Arabidopsis thaliana: one gene and its partner. Each later gene encodes a partner of the first gene's protein in a complex. Each region holds a gene or a part of one and is shown on either strand. Other genes may lie near its edges. The genes, in order: TRXF2 and AT2G04700. A codon is read from its position in the direction of its gene.

What was found.
Region 2: the proteins of TRXF2 (region 1) and AT2G04700 are in contact, whole or in part, in a crystal structure (PDB 7C2B), measured with the Arabidopsis thaliana proteins. Residues at the interface, in NP_197144.1 of Arabidopsis thaliana: Thr106 (codon at 2,017), Gln107 (codon at 2,020), Trp108 (codon at 2,023), Cys109 (codon at 2,735), Gly110 (codon at 2,738), Pro111 (codon at 2,741), Lys113 (codon at 2,747), Val114 (codon at 2,750), Cys136 (codon at 2,816), Gln138 (codon at 2,822), Lys141 (codon at 2,831), Ala144 (codon at 2,918), Lys145 (codon at 2,921), Ile149 (codon at 2,933), Arg150 (codon at 2,936), Val151 (codon at 2,939), Val152 (codon at 2,942); in NP_001323778.1 of Arabidopsis thaliana: Thr34, Glu35, Pro36, Val65, Val68, Val69, Lys71, Gly72, Glu75, Pro86, Cys87, Arg88, His89, Tyr90, Asp91, Lys93, His116, Cys117, Met118.

The regions. Positions count from the first base shown.
Region 1 is NC_003076.8:5,362,605-5,366,950, reverse strand, and holds TRXF2 (thioredoxin F2), read left to right. Parts: upstream 1-1,559; 5' UTR 1,560-1,701; coding exon 1,702-2,024; intron 2,025-2,733; coding exon 2,734-2,833; intron 2,834-2,911; coding exon 2,912-3,046; 3' UTR 3,047-3,531; downstream 3,532-4,346. Other genes in the region: AT5G16410 (HXXXD-type acyl-transferase family protein), read left to right, coding at 1-59, 316-1,266; CAC1 (chloroplastic acetylcoenzyme A carboxylase 1), read left to right, coding at 3,931-4,083.
Region 2 is NC_003071.7:1,645,271-1,649,848, reverse strand, and holds AT2G04700 (ferredoxin thioredoxin reductase catalytic beta chain family protein), read right to left. Parts: upstream 3,043-4,578; 5' UTR 2,889-3,042; coding exon 2,789-2,888; intron 2,701-2,788; coding exon 2,588-2,700; intron 2,420-2,587; coding exon 2,370-2,419; intron 2,297-2,369; coding exon 2,225-2,296; intron 1,758-2,224; coding exon 1,697-1,757; intron 1,549-1,696; coding exon 1,504-1,548; 3' UTR 812-1,503; downstream 1-811. Other genes in the region: AT2G04690 (Pyridoxamine 5'-phosphate oxidase family protein), read right to left, coding at 3,814-3,935, 4,018-4,376, 4,459-4,494. UniProt on the Arabidopsis thaliana protein: Catalytic subunit of the ferredoxin-thioredoxin reductase (FTR), which catalyzes the two-electron reduction of thioredoxins by the electrons provided by reduced ferredoxin.

The DNA of each region.
Region 1 (4,346 bases):
CTTATCAAAGTATTGCCAAGTTTGTTCCCATGAAAAAGCATGGAGTCTTTGCTATTCAGGTAATAGTGTGTAGTGACGAAAGCTGGCTCCACTGATATGTCTCAATCTGATTAATATATATATATTGGAATAAGTTTTGGGATTCTAGTTCTGTATAAAATACAAAATTGAAGTGTCTATCTATTCGTTGCATTTCACACCTTCAAAGATTACCTATATAGCCATATACTTTTACTTATTCAGCTCTATATAAATCAACAACATAACTCTGTTTTTTTTTTCGCTCGTTGTTATTGTTTTGAATTGTCTGAATAGGTAACTGAACTGAAATGTGGGAGCGTAGTAGTGGGATGCACATTTGATCACCGTATAGCAGATGCTTATTCCATGAACATGTTCCTCGTCTCGTGGGCCGAGATATCTCGATCCGATATACCGATTTCGTATGTACCTTTGCTCAAAAGATCCCTCTTAAAGCCACGACGACCCTTGATCATCGACTCTTCAATAGACAAACTGTACATGCCTATAACGTCCTTGACCGTTCCACAAGAAATCACTAATCAAGATAATATCCTAACAAGCCGTATCTATTACATCAAAGCAGATGTCTTAGAAAAGTTTCAAACTCTGGCTACTAATGGTAAGAGGACCAAACTCGAGTCTTTCAGTGCGTTTCTATGGAAACTCTTGGCTAAACACGCTGCAACAGAGTCGGTACTCCCGACTAAAACCTCGAAACTTGGCATCGTTGTTGATGGAAGGAAGAAACTTATGGAGCAAGAGAACTGCAATTACTTTGGGAACGTCCTCTCAGTTCCATTTGGAGAGCGGAGAATCGATGACTTGATCCACAAGCCATTGTCTTGGGTGACAGACGAGGTTCACAAGTTACTGGAGAGTACAATGACCAAAGACCATTTCTTGAACTTGATCGATTGGGTTGAGACTAGCCGTCCGATACCAGTTATATCAAGGATCTACAGTACAGGATCCAACGATGGACCCGCTTTCGTTGTTTCGTCTGGAAAGAGTTTTCCAGTGGCCCGGATTGATTTCGGGTGGGGCTCGCCTGTTTTTGGATCGTACCATCTCCCACCCGGGAGCAGAGCTGGTTACGTAATGACAATGCCGAGTCCGGTGGAAAACGGTGGCTCCGGAGATTGGACGGTTTACTTGCATCTTACGAAAGGACAGTTGAGGTTTATTGAACAAGAGGCTTCTCATGTGTTTAATCCTGTTGACAACGACTATCTCAAGATTTAAAGCATTATCAAACTTTGGTTATATTATTATGCAAATAAAGGCTTATATAAATTTGGCTTTTATAGTTGTAAATTTCAGTTTAAGATCAATATTTTGATTTAAGTTTAAACCAAAAGAAAATGAGTGTGCAGATTGCTAATGGTAATCGACTAATCGTCAATTCTTGGCCTTACATTGTGGGGGTATGATCGTCATTTTACACTCCGATAATTCTGAACCTCGCGTCCATCGAACCCGAAAATACGTAAACATCCCCAAATGTCTTCTTTCTTCGTTATCCATTTGAGGGTATTATTGACCTCACGGTAAGAAAATCTACAATATTTCACGGATAACGAAAACAACACTCGAATTAAAATTTGGAAATCAAAAGTCTCCCAGGTTCCTTTGAAAGATCACACTACTGTTTTTTGGACTCGAGCTTCTTCTTCAACAATGCCTCTCTCTCTCCGACTTGCTCCATCTCCGACGTCTTTCCGTTATTCTCCGATTACATCTACCGGCGCCGGAGGATTTTCCCCCGTGAAGCAGCACTGCCGGATCCCGAATTCGGGCGTCGCGACGAAAATTGGATTCTGTTCTGGTGGTGGTGGTGTTTTAGATTCCGGTAGAAGGATTGGTTCCTGTGTGGTGAGGTGTAGCTTAGAAACAGTGAATGTCACTGTTGGCCAGGTGACGGAGGTTGATAAGGACACGTTCTGGCCAATTGTTAAAGCCGCCGGTGATAAGATTGTTGTCCTCGACATGTACACTCAGTGGTAACGTTTCGATCACTTCTTCTTCTTCTTGGTGCGAATTTTGGAATTACTTGATTGCAATCTCTTGTTTGGAACTACTTGATTCCGTCGCATGTTCAGAGAATTGGAAAATTCATGTACTTAGATTTTTGATAGGTTTTGGATAAGTCGTTGGAAATTAGGGTTGATTAGGGATTTCTCAGTTGATATAACATTGCTAAGTTGTTTACCAGAGAACTTTGCTTTAGCAGATCCTCATGTCTTTAATTCTCAATTGCCAATTCTTGCTACAACATAATCATATCATGGTCTCTAACCATATCCTTTGCTTCTCTTGGCCTATTTTTAGCTCTATGAACCTCACATTGTGTAGCTTCCATAGTTTAGGGTTAGTATATGATCACCTTGTTACTTTCAATTGTATTCAAAAGTTACAGCATTGTAAGTATCATATATAATCTTCACAGTATCAGGCTGCTGCTTCTCTGTACACATTCTTTTGAATTCATTTTTTGGTTAGGAATGATATATACAAAAGGATATGAAGTTATGAATAGTGAGACTTTCAGGAGAATTAGAGCATGTACATTTAATAAATAAGCATAAAAGGTGTTCCAATTTCCATCATCATGAATGCTTGAGATGAGTTTACTATTAAATGTTCTGTTTTGGTGTTGAGAAAAATCAGTTTGCCTCTCTTTTTTTTCAATCCTCGTTTGGCTCTTTGCAGGTGTGGTCCTTGCAAAGTGATTGCTCCCAAATACAAAGAGCTATCGGAGAAGTACCAGGACATGGTGTTTCTTAAGCTTGATTGTAACCAAGACAACAAGGTTTGTTCTTCTTTTTCCGCTGAATGTGTCTTTATATTTATGTTACTTATTTCATAACTCAAAAACTCTTGCTTGCAGCCATTGGCGAAAGAGCTAGGAATTAGAGTGGTTCCAACTTTTAAAATCTTGAAAGACAACAAGGTAGTAAAGGAAGTGACCGGGGCAAAATATGAAGACTTACTTGCAGCCATTGAAGCAGCAAGGTCAGGCTGAGTCTCTCTCTATATCACTCATTATGTAAAGTATTAGGATCATTCTCCATCCATGTAATTCGTTTGGTTCTATGTATGTAACTCTTTGCTGTTCCCTTAACCGGAATCGGTTGTTCACTATCTATGTATAAATGCTGGAAAGTTATGGAATGATGAGCTGAATGTGTATCTGTATGCATCACAAGTTCATAACCAAGTAAATATGCATGTAAACTATAAGAAATTTAAAAATTAAGATTGATTTTAATTTTGGGGGACCCGATTGTTGAAATAGATGCATTTTGTTTATAGTTTTGGCTTACATGTACGATGCTTGTGCTTTGTTTTCAATGGATGTTCCAACTTCCAGCTAGATTGTTAACAAGTCATATCTTCATTTAGTTGTTCACCAAATCCAGTCTCGCCTAATTTTAAAAATTTAATACATTTGGCGTATGTATATTAGGCTAATGTATTTGGATCTATTCATGTATTTTTTTATAAAAATTGGAGACACCGACAGCATTTTCATCTTTAGATGCAGTCGGATTTTTTTCTTGCTGAAAAAATGTGTTTCCTCTAAAGAGTTTAGAGAAATTGTAATTTCCTAAACAGGATTTTAACCCTAACATTTTTTATATTTATTTAAAAGTAATAATTCATTTAAATTCTTCAAGGTAAAAAATACGATAGTCCACAAGGATTGGGAGTAATCGCGAATACAGAACAACAGATCAGAGTATGACACGTGGCGAAATCTGAAAGAGAGTTATAATCAAAGAGAAACGCGTTCCGAATCCGACATCTTCTCTCTCTCTTTCTGAAGTGAACTGTTGTTGTTGTGCTCTTTGGTTTCATCGAGAGAGAACCTAAACCCGATCTGAACCAATAACAATAAGAAGACGAATGGCGTCTTCGTCGTTCTCAGTCACATCTCCAGCTGCTGCTGCTTCCGTCTATGCAGTCACTCAAACCTCCTCGCACTTCCCAATCCAAAACCGCTCTCGCAGAGTTTCTTTCCGTCTCTCTGCTAAGCCCAAGCTTCGCTTTCTCTCCAAGGTACACGATTCCTTCCTCGATTAAGATAAGATCATTTATCCTGCAATGTAGTTTTTAGCTTTTCGAAATATGGATAATTTCAATTTACTCAAGTTTTGTTTGGCTAATCTTCGTCGATTAGTTTTTATCTGCATTTTACGATTTGATTCTCTCTGTATATATATTTGGCGTCAATTAGAATTCAGAGAATACTGTTTTTCCGGAGAAGAATGATAAAATCCGATTTCCAGATTTATGGGTACAATCGTGATTTGGGGTTTTTT
Region 2 (4,578 bases), on another chromosome or scaffold:
TTCAATGGAAGTACCAGTATCTATCCAAACCCGAAATGTACCGAACCGAACCCGAACCGAAGTTTTCAAGTATCCGAACGGGGTCTAATATTCTAGTTCCGAAAGATCTGAATCCGAAAGAACCGATCCGAACCCGAACCGAATACCCAAACGCCCAGGACTAGTTAAAATCATAGATTTTGTACTCAGAAACAATTGTCACGACAAAAATTAATGAATCTCAAGATTTTGTGCCTACCGCATCATTTTCTGCTCTTCTCATATCCTAGAGCATACAAATACAAGTCGGATCGGTGAAAACTAGGCTCGACCTCGATCCACCGGTTTTGTCCATAATACGGGTTCCAAACCACTAGCTTAGCATTGTCTTTCGTGATGTTTAACAACAAACCATCGTAGTGAAAGACTTAAGCTACATCTACTTCATCTGATCGTCTAGGTTAGTAAATTTAGCTTCATGCTTTATACACGATTCAACGTTGGTGTTTAGATTGATGTGCGTCAAATAAACCCTAAAATCAATCATCATGATTACGATAAACTCCTTTTTTCTTTGCTGTACTTTTGCATGACCAACGTGCTTCTTTACAAAGCTCAAATCTTTGAATAAAGTGTTCCACTTTTTGCATGTAAATCAAACTGCTCTTAGAGATTTCATCGGAACCCTAGAGAGGATCTTCTCTACCGTATCCCTTGACCAAAATTAATGTAATGTTAACCTTCGAAAAACAACTCTTTCCAGACTTCTTCCGTCAATTTAAGACATCCTTGACAATGACAACAGAACAACAAAATTACAAACCCTAAAAGGCTTAAATTGAACTTAAAAGCCCAAAACCGATAGTTATGATGGAAATTTATTCATTCAAATTGAAGATAAATAGCGAAGCACTATTGTACAACCAAGTTTCTTCTGATCAGCATAACTAGAGAGGAATACAACAATAATCGACTCTTCATGTGAAGAATACTTTGACATCCACGCATGGCTTGCCCAAAATCCACAACTTGCAAGTATAGAGGCCGTTCATACTTGGCACATGCGAATGCGACATAGAACATTGAACATCACGAGAGAATGGTTGCAAAGAATGGTTACTGTAAAGACCATATCACTGCTTGAAAAAACATAAAACTTGGAGATTGAGATCCGAAGAAGAAGAAGAAGCAAATGAAATACGTTATGAGAAAACTACTGATTTAAGTGGATTGATACTGTTATGGAAGCTTTGGCTTTGAGAGATGTGAAAGAGAAACCTTTAGATCTTTTAAGCTTACTTATTGAAGATTTCGTGTAAAGTTGGATCCTTTTATATAGCTTGTAATCGTTTTGCAAACAAAAGATCATACTAAAGAATATTATCTTAAGAGTGAAAGAGTTGTACAGAAGAACGAAGAAGATGCTCGGGGTATCAATGTACAAGACTGCATTTGGGGCGAGACATATCTCTCTTTTTTTTTACCTAAAGAACAGAGGTGATGAACATGGAAGAACCAGCTCTCTCACATGTTAGCTGTAGTTTCTTTTATTTCATCCGATGTAATCGTCTGCAAGATTCAAACAAGAGAAAGAATTAGAAATCCATATACTATATACTATAGGTTCCCAAATTCCCAATACTACTAAGTTGCTTCGAACCATTAATGGTATCCTTAAAATGGAGACAGAACCTTCAAGCTTTGATTTGAGATTTACCTGATCTTTTCCAGCGAAATCATTATCAGGAGTTAAGAAAAGCATACAATGGCACTCCTTCCTGATGAACAAGTGATAAATACTTTAGTACAAGATGTAAACAAGCAAGTATTATCAGAATAAACCGTCAACAGATGCAAAATTGATCGAACTCTACTACCTAAACTAAGTCCTATTAAAACACAAAGGATCTTAAATTTGCGGTGTATCAGAATTTGATCAAAAGAGCCACATAGGCCAAGAGTTTTACAGGAGTTTTCTAACTATGGTTAATTCAATTTCCACTTGCCTAGCAATATGTGAATACATTCTCTGCATCAATCTTGATACAACCAATACGGAGCATCGGCTACCTCTATGGAAACTACAACATACGTATGCTGCTGAATACTATCCAACTAATAACAACAAGGACGTTGGAGACGATCTATATAACCAGCTTTTCCCAAAGGACTTTATATTCTTAGTTCTAACTATATAGCAACCCCAATGCTTATTATGCAACCACATGAAGAAGATAGTTCTTACCTCTCTCTCATTGGAACACACGGACAATTCCAAAAGCCTTGTCCAACCTCAGCAGCTTTATCATCATAGTGTCTACATCAACAACAAAGGATCAAACTTTACGAATACATAGATAGTTCAAGATTGCTCGGAAGAAGCAAATCACCTGCAAGGGCAAAGCGGTGCACCATATGAATCTTTATGCTCAGCCAAACCCTGCTCACAAAGTTAAGCATTAAACCTCAAGATGTTTACATTCACTAACTCATAATCTACAAGTAGAAAGACACAAGCCACTTCAATAGTTAAGCAGTTGATCACAATCTTCATATCAACACAAGTTCATCTGAAATTTCAATAAGCTCCGATTGAAATCAAGAGTACCTTAATAACGACTGAAGTAACTCCTTTATCAACACAGAAGTAAGTCCCAGAGCGACGAGCATATTGCTCGGAGAATTTCCTCATAATCTCTACTGATTTCTCCGACGGTTCCGCTGCAAAAACAAGAAGAAGATTCAAGATGAATCCAAAACCGAAATCACAATCACTTTAAACAAAGATCTAGGGATTCAAATTGTTTACTTTTCGCTCGGATTACGAAGCGACGAAACGAAGTTCTGGGAGTGACACCAAGTGGACTCGAAAGGAATCCGAAGCTACAAGAAACAGCTTGAAGATTCATCGAGTTTTTTCTGGAATTTGAAGATCGATGAAAAGTTTCGTCGTGGACTTGAAGATTTTTCTTCTCCTCTTGAAATTTGGATTCGTTTATGCTTTTTAGATCGAAATTTTCAGATATTTTTTTGTGTTCATTTTCCAGAAACCAATGCTCGCCACTCACAGAGAGAGAGACTCTCAGAGAATGATAAAGCTTATCCTCAAACCGGAAATAACCGGAATTCGACCATCGAATCGGTTCAAACTTTGCTTCAAAACTTTCGGTTCAATTCGGTTTAGATAAAGAATTTGAGTAGAATTATGAATGAAAAAATCGAGTTTTGGTTTCGGTTCGAGTTGGTGAAATTAGTTTGGTTCAATTGCAATAGAATTCTGATTTGGTTTTAATTTGACTCCAACGTGGTTCAATTACATAAATTTCTAGTTTTATTTTGTTTTAGTGTATTGGATTCAATTCTCTTATGAAAGTTCCGGTTCAATTATGTTTAGATAATAGAATTTAAATTTTAGACTAATGAATAAAAAAAATTGGTTTATTCGGTTTAAATGAGAAATCAAAACCGATTTTCGTTTCGGTTCACGTGGAAGAATTTGTTTTGGTTCAATTGCATAAATTGAAAAGTATTTTGGATACCTTTGAAATTGCTTTGAGGTAATTTACAAGAGATTTTAATATCTATTATGGTCCAAAACAAAGAGTTATTTACAGAAACAGTTACACACTTTTTATTGTTCATCCAATATACATTTTCTTGCTTCACCATTTGCTTGATTCTTGTGAGTTATTATAAAAAGGAAGCGAGTTTGATCCTGAAAACAGTTCAAAAGAACTAAGAGATCAAATGCGAAAAAGGCATACGATTCGAAAATTTTCATAGTTCGGTTTCTCAGAGATTACCGATGTTTTTAAAAGGGTTCACGCAATGTACTTACGACTTGGCATGAAGGTATTCATCTACAGTGATAGGTTTAGCTCCACCATACCAATTGATGAGAAATATATCGATGATCTCGAGTTTAAAGAAGCGGAAATCATGATCCTTAGGCCAATCTGCAAATGATAAAACCATCACATGATAATACAAATCTATCATGAATCTGTATCTTAAGAGATGAGTGAAACAATTAATCACCCATCATCTCTGGATGCTTTGTGAATAAAGCCTTTTTGGCTACTTCTGCTTCCTCAGATCCTCCTTCCAATATCAGCAACTGAAACATTATAATAAGATAAAGACCAAAGCATTTTACAGTAAGTTTCTTTGTCGTGTCAATAAGAAAAAACTCTTTTACCTTCCCGGTAAGGGTTAGTTTAGAGCAAGTAGGATTCATTGGATCTCTTGTACAAGTTCCAAGAGGAGATTCACTAATTGCAAGTGAAGCTCTCTGGTCTTTAAGTGCGTTTCTTGCAGTTGGATCAAGTGTTGTTAAGTAAAAGTAAGGTATACCGTTACCTTTCTCGGGTAAACCATCACTAAACGATACAACATTCCTGCAAATAGAGACCATTGAGATCTCAATAATGTCAAAGCAAGAAAACACATTGTGATATGATTCATGGAAAACAAGATTACCCGAAGGGAGCGCCTTTATGATCAACGGATAGTGTGCTGGAAGAGGAATACAACACCGCAAAAAGAATTAGTAATACACAACTGTTACACTCACATTACCTTGCTGATAACAACAATGCA